2 linked regions of the Daphnia pulex genome follow. The protein of the gene in region 2 interacts with the protein of the main gene of each other region in a pairwise test. Links are inferred from orthologs where the notes say so. Each region holds a gene or a part of one and is shown on either strand. Other genes may lie near its edges.

Region 1 (5,086 bases), on a different chromosome or scaffold from region 2:
TGATCTTTTGACTTCATTCATTCATGAACAGAGTCAACCTCCAAAAAGAAAAGAAGAAAAAAGGTACAAACAACAAACAAACAAGAGACGGGCCCCTCCCTGATGTTTCATTGTTCTTTTCCACATTCCTTATTTAATTTTTCATTTGATATTCGCGATTAAAACCAAACAAAAAGACGTTTCGTAACGGCAATCAGTTAATTATCAACAACAACAAGCGAGTTGAAGGTCCCCCCTCGGGCGCTACATACGGATGATGATGCAACCACCCGAAAAAAAAAATGTTGAAATCTCTTGAGGAGTTATTTGATGTAATAATAATTTAATGTAATCATCGTCGGTAGAGGAGGACTATTATATGCAAATGATGTCAAGCTGTTGAGAGATTGTGTGTGTACACAGGTGTTGAGCTCTCTCTTCTTCTTCTTCTTTTTCTTTTGGGGATAAACATTGGAATTCTTCCCATTTGTGATCTCGCCAATTAGATAAGCGTTGGTGTTTTTCTTCTTCTTCTTCTTTCCAGGAATCCCTGGCCAGTAGTTAACAGCAGGTGGTGCGCATTTCCAGTCAAAAGGTGCGAATGGATAAAAGAGGGGCTTGGCCCATCAACACCATTCCAACACCACATTTTTGCATATTATCCACAAAGCTGGACGTCGTCTATCCGTCGTTGTATAGGTCATGGATGGAAAATAAAACAATTGCGCAAAATGGGAGCGGTGGGGGGGGGAAATTTCAAAAAAAACTTTCAAATCAGTTGGACGAGAAAACACCTAGCTCTCAAGTTGCCCGGCAACTGGGCAAGATGATGCGTCACTGTTTGAATAAGAGAGAGAAAAAGGGGGCCAGCAGCAAAGCTGGAGATGGAATGCGTCCTGTGTGTGAACGATCGTCCTCCCGAATAAAAATTTCGCTGACTAGTTGGATAGGAATTTGTTTTCCACCTGTCGGCCGGTTCATTACAGACAACAAAATGGCCACTCTGGGGGCCAGCAACAAGTTGGCACCAGAACCTTATTCTCTCCTATCTCTGCTCGCAAGTTATTGAAGTTGTTTATATGTCGTAACCCAGGTGTGTGCGCATACAAAACGGCTACAATCTTATAAGAAGAGATAAGTTCCACAGCGAATAAAAAAGTTAAAAATCTCTTTTTTTTTCTTTCTCGCTGTTGGCCTCAATGTCGCCGGTCACATATTATTCGTTGGAATATATATGTAGAGACAAATATTTATTAGATGCAGTTTGATTGTGTCCCTTTTCTGGTCCCTCGCATTCGTTTTTTGTTTGCCTTTCTCTCCTCTCTTACGTGTTTTTTTTTTTCTCTTTTTTTAAAAACACCCGCGAGATCTAAACACAAGATGAACGACGTTGGCACGAGAACTTGAAAAGTTCTTTTTTCAGATTTCCAAATTCCCCAGATCGAAAAAAGAAAACGGGACAGGAATTATTATTCGATACGCCGGGGATTTTAAAAAATTTTGGATTTTTAAAAATATTTTGATTAATTAGCGTAATCGTGGCCACCGGTTTCCATCACATATCGACTGGGGGTATTTGTGCTTTTATTATTATTGTCCCCGTTTTGTATTTCTCATTCTGGTCCCTTTTTTCCATCTTCTTCTTCTTCTTCTTCCAGGAAAAAAGAAAAGCACTCAGCATCCCCTTCCCCCTTAACTTTCTTGGGTTTCCTCATTTGGAGGGTGGAAAAAGGTTTTTATCTTTCTTTTTGTTTTTCCAATTTAAAAGTTTTACCCTCCAGTAAAAAAAAAGTTAAAATTTAAAAAAATAAATCTTCCCCGAAAAATCGATTTTTAGTAAATATGTTTGAAAAATTATCCAGTGAAATTCCACCGAGTTCAAATTTTTCTACAAAATTTTTGCGGGAATTTTGAAAAAATAGACGAAAAAATTTTTGTTAAAAACCTGGAACTGTTGAGTCGATGACGATTGGATGTGTCCAGTCGATGGATGGACGGGCGGGAGAGGAGGATGAAGTTGGCAGTGGGCGAGTGCGTTGCTGATACAACCGCGGGAGATCCGTGTCATCCTGGCCTTTTAGCAGTTTAGCACAGCGGTGGTGGCGATCCTCCCTGACTGGCAATCACGCAGTGCCCGATCTTCATAGCACACACACACACACACGACACCAAAACGCAATGATGGGCACAACAACACACCTGGCACTATCAACAGCACGATGGATCAAACTGATGGATTGGAAAACGGCCGCCGTTGTCCAAACGTGGCGTGTGTTATATATATATATTCAACTGGACGCAACTTTCACTTCTTCACTCACGACACACAACTGACGATGGCGTAACACTGAACGCAATAGCCAATAACTAACAGGGTTTCAAAATGGCGACGAAATTGGCGGGCATTTTATAACCGACGATTTTTTAAAAACAAAATAAATCACGAACACACACACTCTCGGGCTGGGAGACGCACGTGGAATGGATTGTCCAACCGGGAATCCCTGGAGGGAGAAAAAAGAAACAGAATTAAATATCGATTTAAAAATAAAATAAAAAGGAGGAAACGATTGGGTGGAAAAATAAAAAGAAGAAGGTCGATATTCTTTTTTAACCTTCGTCTACTTTTTATTTTTATATTCCTTTTTTTGTTTCGGAAGGTAAAAACAAAAGAAGAAGAAGAAGAAAAACCAGGTGGAAAACTTAAGACAAAAAGAAGAAGAAGAAGAAGTAGGGGGTGGATTGAAAAAGAGAGGGGGGGGGAAGGGCAGAAAAATGGAGGGGGAAAAGTTTTTATTCCGTTTGGAACTTGGAAGGTTTTTGGGTTGGGTTTTTCAGGAGGGAGGGTCATCTCTTTTGTCGTCTCAAAATGTCTGAAATTTCATTCCCCCCAAAAAAGAAAAATTGATTTTCGATAGTTTTTAATGAAATTACAAAATGTTGATCAATCTTATTGCACAGTCTATTGTTTGTTTTAATTGAAGTGGGGGTCCATTCCACCTGGGACTGGAAAGGTGTCAAAAAAGTAACAGACGGGAAAAGTTGCACATGAAGAAAACACAGGTGTTGTGTGAGGTAGGGTGGGGGGGATCTAATGAGTCTAACACCTTTTTGCTGGAAATGGCGGATGCACAGGTGCACAACTTTGTTGGTGTTTTGGTTCTTGGCACCGAGAAGAAGAAATTCCGTTTGATGAGGCGAAACAGAAATTCGATCAAAAGAAACAAACAAGGAAAAATTGAGGGGGGAAAAATGCCACCGACCAACCGCACTGGTCACATCACACGAAGGACTGAGAGCCCAGGAGTAGAAAGAGACGCTTCCACTGGGCAGCCAGCAGACGAAAAATAAAAATCCCCTGGAAATGCATCCCAATGTTTGTATATATATATATATATCTATCGGCTATATCTTTTCTTCCAAACTAAATACCATTTTCTTTCTCTCTGTGTACACGAAGGTAGAGGGCGATCTAAACACACACACAGGGACAACATTGCCAGCAGCACTTTGGAGGAGGGGGAAAAAGGTAAAACAAGATGGTCACCCCATCAAGAAAAACCCCCAAAAAAGGTTTTTTTTTTTTTTTTCTTTTTAAAAAACATACATCTATTTAGAGTGGCTTTTAAGCTTCTTCTCTTTTTAGTTTTTTACCCCTCGAACATTCCCTGGGCATATCGGAAAAAAGTATCGTCCAGTGACTATCGATTCTTATTTTTGGAGACGAACGACAACGTATACCGGGAAAGAGAATGGGGCAATTAAAAGGTAAAAACAGACCCTCTCTTTTTTTGTGACTGGGGTCGGGTGGCGACAGGAGCCCCAACGGTTATATATACACATGGTGGAATAGAGAGATGAGAGATGACAAGGAGCCGAAGGAGAACAAAAGTCGTCCAAGGTTTCCGCAGGATGAATCTGAAGGAGCAAAAGAAAGAAGAGGAGGCCATATAATAAATATAAGGCTCCCCTTCCATACAAGGAGAAATCTAATAAAGAAAATGACAACTCGAAAAAGGTCACTATACTTGTCAGCGCCATGCCAAATTTCAATGTCCAACACAATTTTTTATTTCAAAGGTATATTTTTTGTTTTCAGCGTGAATTTGAAACCCGGAAATTAAAATTGAAGCGGGAAATTCAAAATGATGAGCTTTTGAAAAATGTATAAGACACCGACCAATGATCAAAGGGCATATCAAATTGCTCAACTGTACAAGCTCACCCTTGTTTATCGAATGATTTGCGACCAGCGGCGCAGTGTGTACACGTGTAATCAATATTGGCTTACACACAACTCGTGTTTGTTGTTGTTGTGTGTTTTCGTCTGTTAAGAAAAAGTGGGTTGCCTTGATTTTTTCAGATTCGTTTTATTCTGTGTGTGTCCTCCTCTCAATTTTCTTTTGCCTCAATCTTTGTAATCACGTCGGCGTTCGTGATTGCATAGCCTTGTGCGTCCAATCCCGCGCGCTTCTACATAGCCCTATGGTATTAGAAGCGTAACAACAACAACAACAACCGAGAAAATTTCTATTTGGAGGCTATTGGATTTTTGTTTTTTCGTCCACAGGTGTGCAGCTTATTCTCTCTCTATTGCGGCTTTTCCTCCCCCTTCTGTATACGAGTTCGGTTGGCGAGTGGGTTGGAAGAAGGAGTCATCCTCCGCCATAACCCGCGCACTTTGCTCTGTAATTAAGACGGAAAAGAAAAAGAAAAACCCGGCAGAAATGTTTTTTTCGACCGCTCTTTTCCCCCCCCCCCATCCTCTCAATACACACACACATAGATATAAATTACATATAGAGTTAAAATAGGGGAGGATCTACCTCTCTAGTACTGGTCGAACAAAAACGAAGAAACGAAAATGTTATCTCTACCAAAAGAAGAATTTAGACAAGAAAAAAAAGATTCAACTGGGCGGATCCGAATTTTATGTACGAACTTAATATTCCCTTTAATTTTTATTTTTTCAGGAAAAAACCAGAAAAAAAGGTTTGGTTATTTTCTTCTTTGGCCAGCAACAAGAAGACGAAGCGGAACATTTAAACGATTCCGATTGGGAAAAATAAACAATATATATTTTTTTTTTATTAATATATGCGCAGTT
Region 2 (4,650 bases):
GGCCGTCGATACCGGGCAGACCGGAAATTCCTTTGTCGCCCTTCATGCCTTGCGGGCCGGGTCCACCAGGAATGCAAGAGTCTCCTTGCGCTCCAGGTAAACCATCAAGACCAGGAGATCCAGGAGCACCAGAAATACCACGATCTCCTTTGTCCCCCTTGCTGCCGGCGAACCCACCAAAACCGTCATTGCCCTTGGGTCCACGCAAGCCGTCCAAACCAGGCAATCCAGGTGAGCCGGCGTCTCCCTTGATGCCGGGAAGGCCTGGAAGTCCCACAACGCGATCACCCTTGTCACCTCTCTCGCCGGGTCGTCCGTCCAAACCATTATTGCCGGGACCGCCTCGAATGCCAGGTATTCCAGGTTCGCCTTTCTGTCCTTTGTCAGCGGTGAATCCTGGTTCACCTTTGAATCCCTATATTGCATGCAACAGTAATTTTAGTGTACCATTCTCAAATGATCAATTTATGATTAACCTACAGAAAGACCTGCAGGTCCAACGTCTCCCTTTTCGCCTCCAATTCCGGGGTTACCGGGAAGTCCATCTAGACCGGGATTACCACGGTCACCTTTCATACCCATGTCGCCCTTGCGTCCGTCAAGACCAGGAAGACCAGCGTCACCCGGTAGACCCGAAAGACCGGATGGTCCTCGATCACCTTTGGCACCAGGAGTTCCCGGCAGGCCGTTCAAACCTAATCGTCAGTAAAAAAAACAGCAAAATGTGATTGAGATTTGTTGCATTAATAAGCAGGTCAAATTACAATCTTGATATAAACGTGGTGTAACATTATTTTACCTGGTTGTCCAGGAAGTCCAGGTAAGCCTTGTGCACCAACGCCACCTTCAATTCCAAGATCTCCTTTGAATCCTGGGAATCCCGGTAAACCTGGTCGTCCGGCTTCTCCTTGAAGGCCTGGTTCGCCTGCGAGATATATTCATGGTTATTTGCAGATGAGTCAACTAAAAGATAACTATATCTGGTAAACTATTTGTACCTTTGCCGCCATCCCGACCAGGTGGTCCAGCAAATCCTGCATTGATAATAATAACAATAATAATACTAATCATCATCTAATATATTGTTATTTGTATAACCAGGTGGCCCAGCCGGTCCAGGTGGTCCTGAATCTCCCTTGTCTCCTCTGGGTCCAGGAAGGCCATCCAATCCTGCCACTCCACGGTCACCCTTTTCTCCGGGGAAACCGCCAGGGCCAGAAGGTCCTTGAGCTCCGGGCTTGCCTGGTAGTCCAGGTAATCCTTTCTCTCCTTGTTCGCCGATCAAGCCTGGCTGTCCGGGTCTTCCTATTCCAGGGATTCCAGATTCACCCTTTCCGCCTGCACATGGAAGATTGATTTAGAATTTGAGATAACATGCTAAAATGAAGTACAAAACTGAACCTTTCATGCCAGGTAAGCCTGAATTTCCGGGATTGCCGGGAGGTCCATCTTCACCGGGGAATCCCATGGGGCCTAAAGCGCCTTTGTCACCACGTTGACCTGGTGGTCCGCGCGGACCTGGAAGTCCTGTAGGACCGATGTCACCTTTTTCTCCCATCGATCCCTGAATTGTTGCACATTAAAAAAAGGTCAATTCTCAATAAAAAAAGTGAAAAATTAAATGTCTTTTTCCAACTGACCCTGAGACCCTCCAGTCCTGGTTCACCCTTCATACCCCCTTCACCTTTCAAGCCCATATCGCCCTTTTCTCCTTTTTGTCCTTGCAATCCTTTGAGAAGTACAAGATCGTCGAGACATTGGGCTGTAAAGAGAAATTATGTGAATTATAAAAAACACAATTAAAATCGTTGGTATACAAAAATACAATTTTCGTACCTTGTTCTCCTTTTGCGCCTTTCTGGCCTTCAAAACCAGAATCACCTTTGGCACCGTTTTGTCCATCACGTCCAGGCTCACCCTTAATGGATGCGCCCTTTTCGCCGGGTATACCAGAAAGACCTGGTGTGCCTGGAGTACCGTCTAATCCAGGGAAACCAATTTGGCCCTTGTCGCCTTTCATTCCAGGGAAACCAGAGAGACCAGGTTGTCCAGGAGGTCCACGTAAACCAGGAGGACCCAGTGGACCGGGTCGGCCGTATTCACCTCGATCTCCTTTGTCACCTGGTGGTCCTCGTGCCAGAATATCCGGAATAATAGTGACTTCTCCCTTTTGACCTTTGGGTCCTGGCTGTCCAGGCTCACCAGACCGACCCTAAGGTATTAAGTAATTATTAACAATGAAAATAGTCATGATATGGCAACGTAAAGATAGTTAGACCGAACAAAACATGCGAAAATTCATTATGCTAACCTCGAGACCAGGTAAACCAGGTGGACCGAGAAGACCATCGTCACCCGGCTGTCCGGGATACCCACGTTCGCCAGGGGCACCACGTTGACCAGGTGGACCATTGACACCGTTCAATCCCCGGTCTCCTCTGTCACCTTTAATGCCTGGGCTACAGGCAAAGCAGACTCCAGCGTCACCCTTCTCCCCATTGAACCCTGGTAGGCCAGGAGTTCCAGGAATGCCGTCACGACCCTTGTCTCCTTTGATTCCGGGGTATCCTGGTGTACCAGGAATACCGTCAATAGCATCTCCAGGAGGTCCGCGAATTCCCTGATAACCGCGTTCACCCTTCAAACCAGGCAAACCGTCACGTCCTGGAAGTCCGTCCAGTCCTTTCGGGCCCTATCACAAATTATGGGAAAAATGGTTTCGAAAATTCAACAATCGCAAATTCAAACTCAATCAGTAAATGTCGCATTTTTCAATAACTTACCACGATCGAAATTCCTTTTTCACCAGGAGGACCCATCAGGCCAGGAAGACCGGGAGATCCGGGTGGACCCTGAAGTCCAGGCTCACCCGGATAGCCTTAAAATAATTCAGGAATGCAATGAAGGTGTTTTTATGTTTACAATACTGCAGAGATTCAAAATTACCCGCTAGTCCACCGTCTCCTTTGTCACCCTTGTCACCAGCGGGTCCTTCAGCTCCAGGTAATCCAGGACTGCCAGCACCACCAGGAGGACCTTGACTTCCTCTGGGACCAGGATCGCCGGGAAGACCGTCAATACCGTTACCACCAGGAGGGCCTGGGAATCCACGCGGTCCGGCAGGGCCTGGGGGTCCAGGAACACCTTTGCCTCCCTTCACAAAATATTAAGATATTGAATTTTCAAATTAATTATGGTGACGGCTAAGACTTACTCCTGGGGCTCCAGGTGGTCCTCTCAAACCGGGCAGACCAGGAATTCCAGATAATCCGCCGTCACCTTTAGGGCCGGGTCGACCGGGAAGTCCATCCAAACCGTCGTTACCCCTGTCACCTTTCTGTCCGGTTGGTCCTGGAGGTCCGGGGAATCCGTCTTTACCCTGTATGACGAAACAACACAGTTAGAATGTGCTTTTTGTGATCGCATACTGAATGTGAATGAAAAAAAAGGTTTAAAAAACTTACTCGAGGGCCAGCCGGTCCAGGTAATCCTTTTTCACCCTTCATTCCTAGATCTCCTTTTGAGCCAGCATCACCGATAAAGCCGGGTTGACCTTCGGGCCCAAAGTCACCCTTATCACCCTATTGAATAAAAAAATTGAATTAAACTAAGCTGCTAAAAAGATTGAGCTTGAATTGACTTGTTAGGTTTACCTTCATGCCGAGCATACCCTTCTCTCCTTTCGGTCCTATGTATGTTACGTTGCCCTTTCCTTCAAATTCATTACCCCCTAAACAAGAATCGCCTTTGGGTCCAGCTTCACCCTTGTCGCCTCTGCCACTCTCACGACAGATTCCTGGCAGACCTTTGTCTCCTTGCAATCCTTCTTTACCCGCCAATCCCTGATTTTGTACAAAAAAATAACATAAAAAAAACAGTAAAATATTTAACAAAATCATTCGAGATTAGGATGTTGGCGGGGGAAGGTGTATCTTACCGGTAAACCACGTTCGCCTTTGTTGCCTTTGCCACCCGTCAAACCAGCCGGGCCAGGGAATCCAGCGGGTCCGCGAACACCATCCAGTCCAGGTTCACCTTTTTGTCCTTTGCTACCGGGAAATGGAGCTTGAGCCGGCTCACCTTTCTCTCCCTTTCCACCAGGCAGACCGGGCAAGCCACGAGGTCCAGGATCGCCAACCATTCCCATTCCTCCAGGAGCTCCCTTTTCAAATTCCACCGTAAAAAGATGTCAGAAAATGCATAAAATACGAATTAAAAAATACTTACATCAGTTCCGTTGCAACCGTCCATGCCGTTCATGCCGGGTGGCCCTGGTGGACCTTGGATACCAGGAATCCCGTTGATACCAGGGAAACCCGGCATACCCATTTTACCACGGTCGCCTTTCGGCCCTCGAGGTCCTTGTGGTCCAGGTTCACCTTTATCACCTTTGGGTCCTTCCAAACCCTCCATACCTTGGAATCCGGGTAATCCAGTAGGGCCAGGATTACCGGGTACTCCTGGCGGTCCCTAAATGTTGAAAAGAATGCGTGATTGGAATCCAGCAAGGATTATTTGTGGCTGTCAAATAAAACGTGAAACAAACATTCTTGCCTTTTGTATATCTTAAAATCTAAGGCTAGATTAAAGGCTTTGCTGGTATTAGTAACAAGAAACAAGAGCAGATAAGAGCAGTTCCACGCTTTAGCC

What was found. The genes of interacting proteins can lie anywhere in the genome.
Region 1: the proteins of collagen alpha-2(IV) chain-like (region 2) and bone morphogenetic protein 2-like interact in binary tests that used the Drosophila melanogaster proteins (3 or more experiments, as listed by UniProt). The link is inferred for Daphnia pulex from reciprocal best matches to the Drosophila melanogaster genes Col4a1 and dpp.

What each region holds. Positions count from the first base shown.
Region 1 is NC_060019.1:10,274,775-10,279,860, forward strand, and holds the start of bone morphogenetic protein 2-like, read right to left. Parts: upstream 3,427-5,086; 5' UTR 3,087-3,426; intron 2,484-3,086; 5' UTR 1,925-2,483; intron 1-1,924. UniProt on the Drosophila melanogaster protein: Required during oogenesis for eggshell patterning and dorsal/ventral patterning of the embryo.
Region 2 is NC_060017.1:3,258,912-3,263,561, reverse strand, and holds part of collagen alpha-2(IV) chain-like, read right to left. Parts: intron 4,471-4,650; coding exon 4,228-4,470; intron 4,163-4,227; coding exon 3,938-4,162; intron 3,843-3,937; coding exon 3,654-3,842; intron 3,582-3,653; coding exon 3,465-3,581; intron 3,380-3,464; coding exon 3,215-3,379; intron 3,155-3,214; coding exon 2,947-3,154; intron 2,879-2,946; coding exon 2,784-2,878; intron 2,693-2,783; coding exon 2,312-2,692; intron 2,213-2,311; coding exon 1,837-2,212; intron 1,763-1,836; coding exon 1,641-1,762; intron 1,565-1,640; coding exon 1,402-1,564; intron 1,339-1,401; coding exon 1,099-1,338; intron 1,035-1,098; coding exon 999-1,034; intron 926-998; coding exon 800-925; intron 696-799; coding exon 481-695; intron 416-480; coding exon 1-415. UniProt on the Drosophila melanogaster protein: Collagen type IV is specific for basement membranes.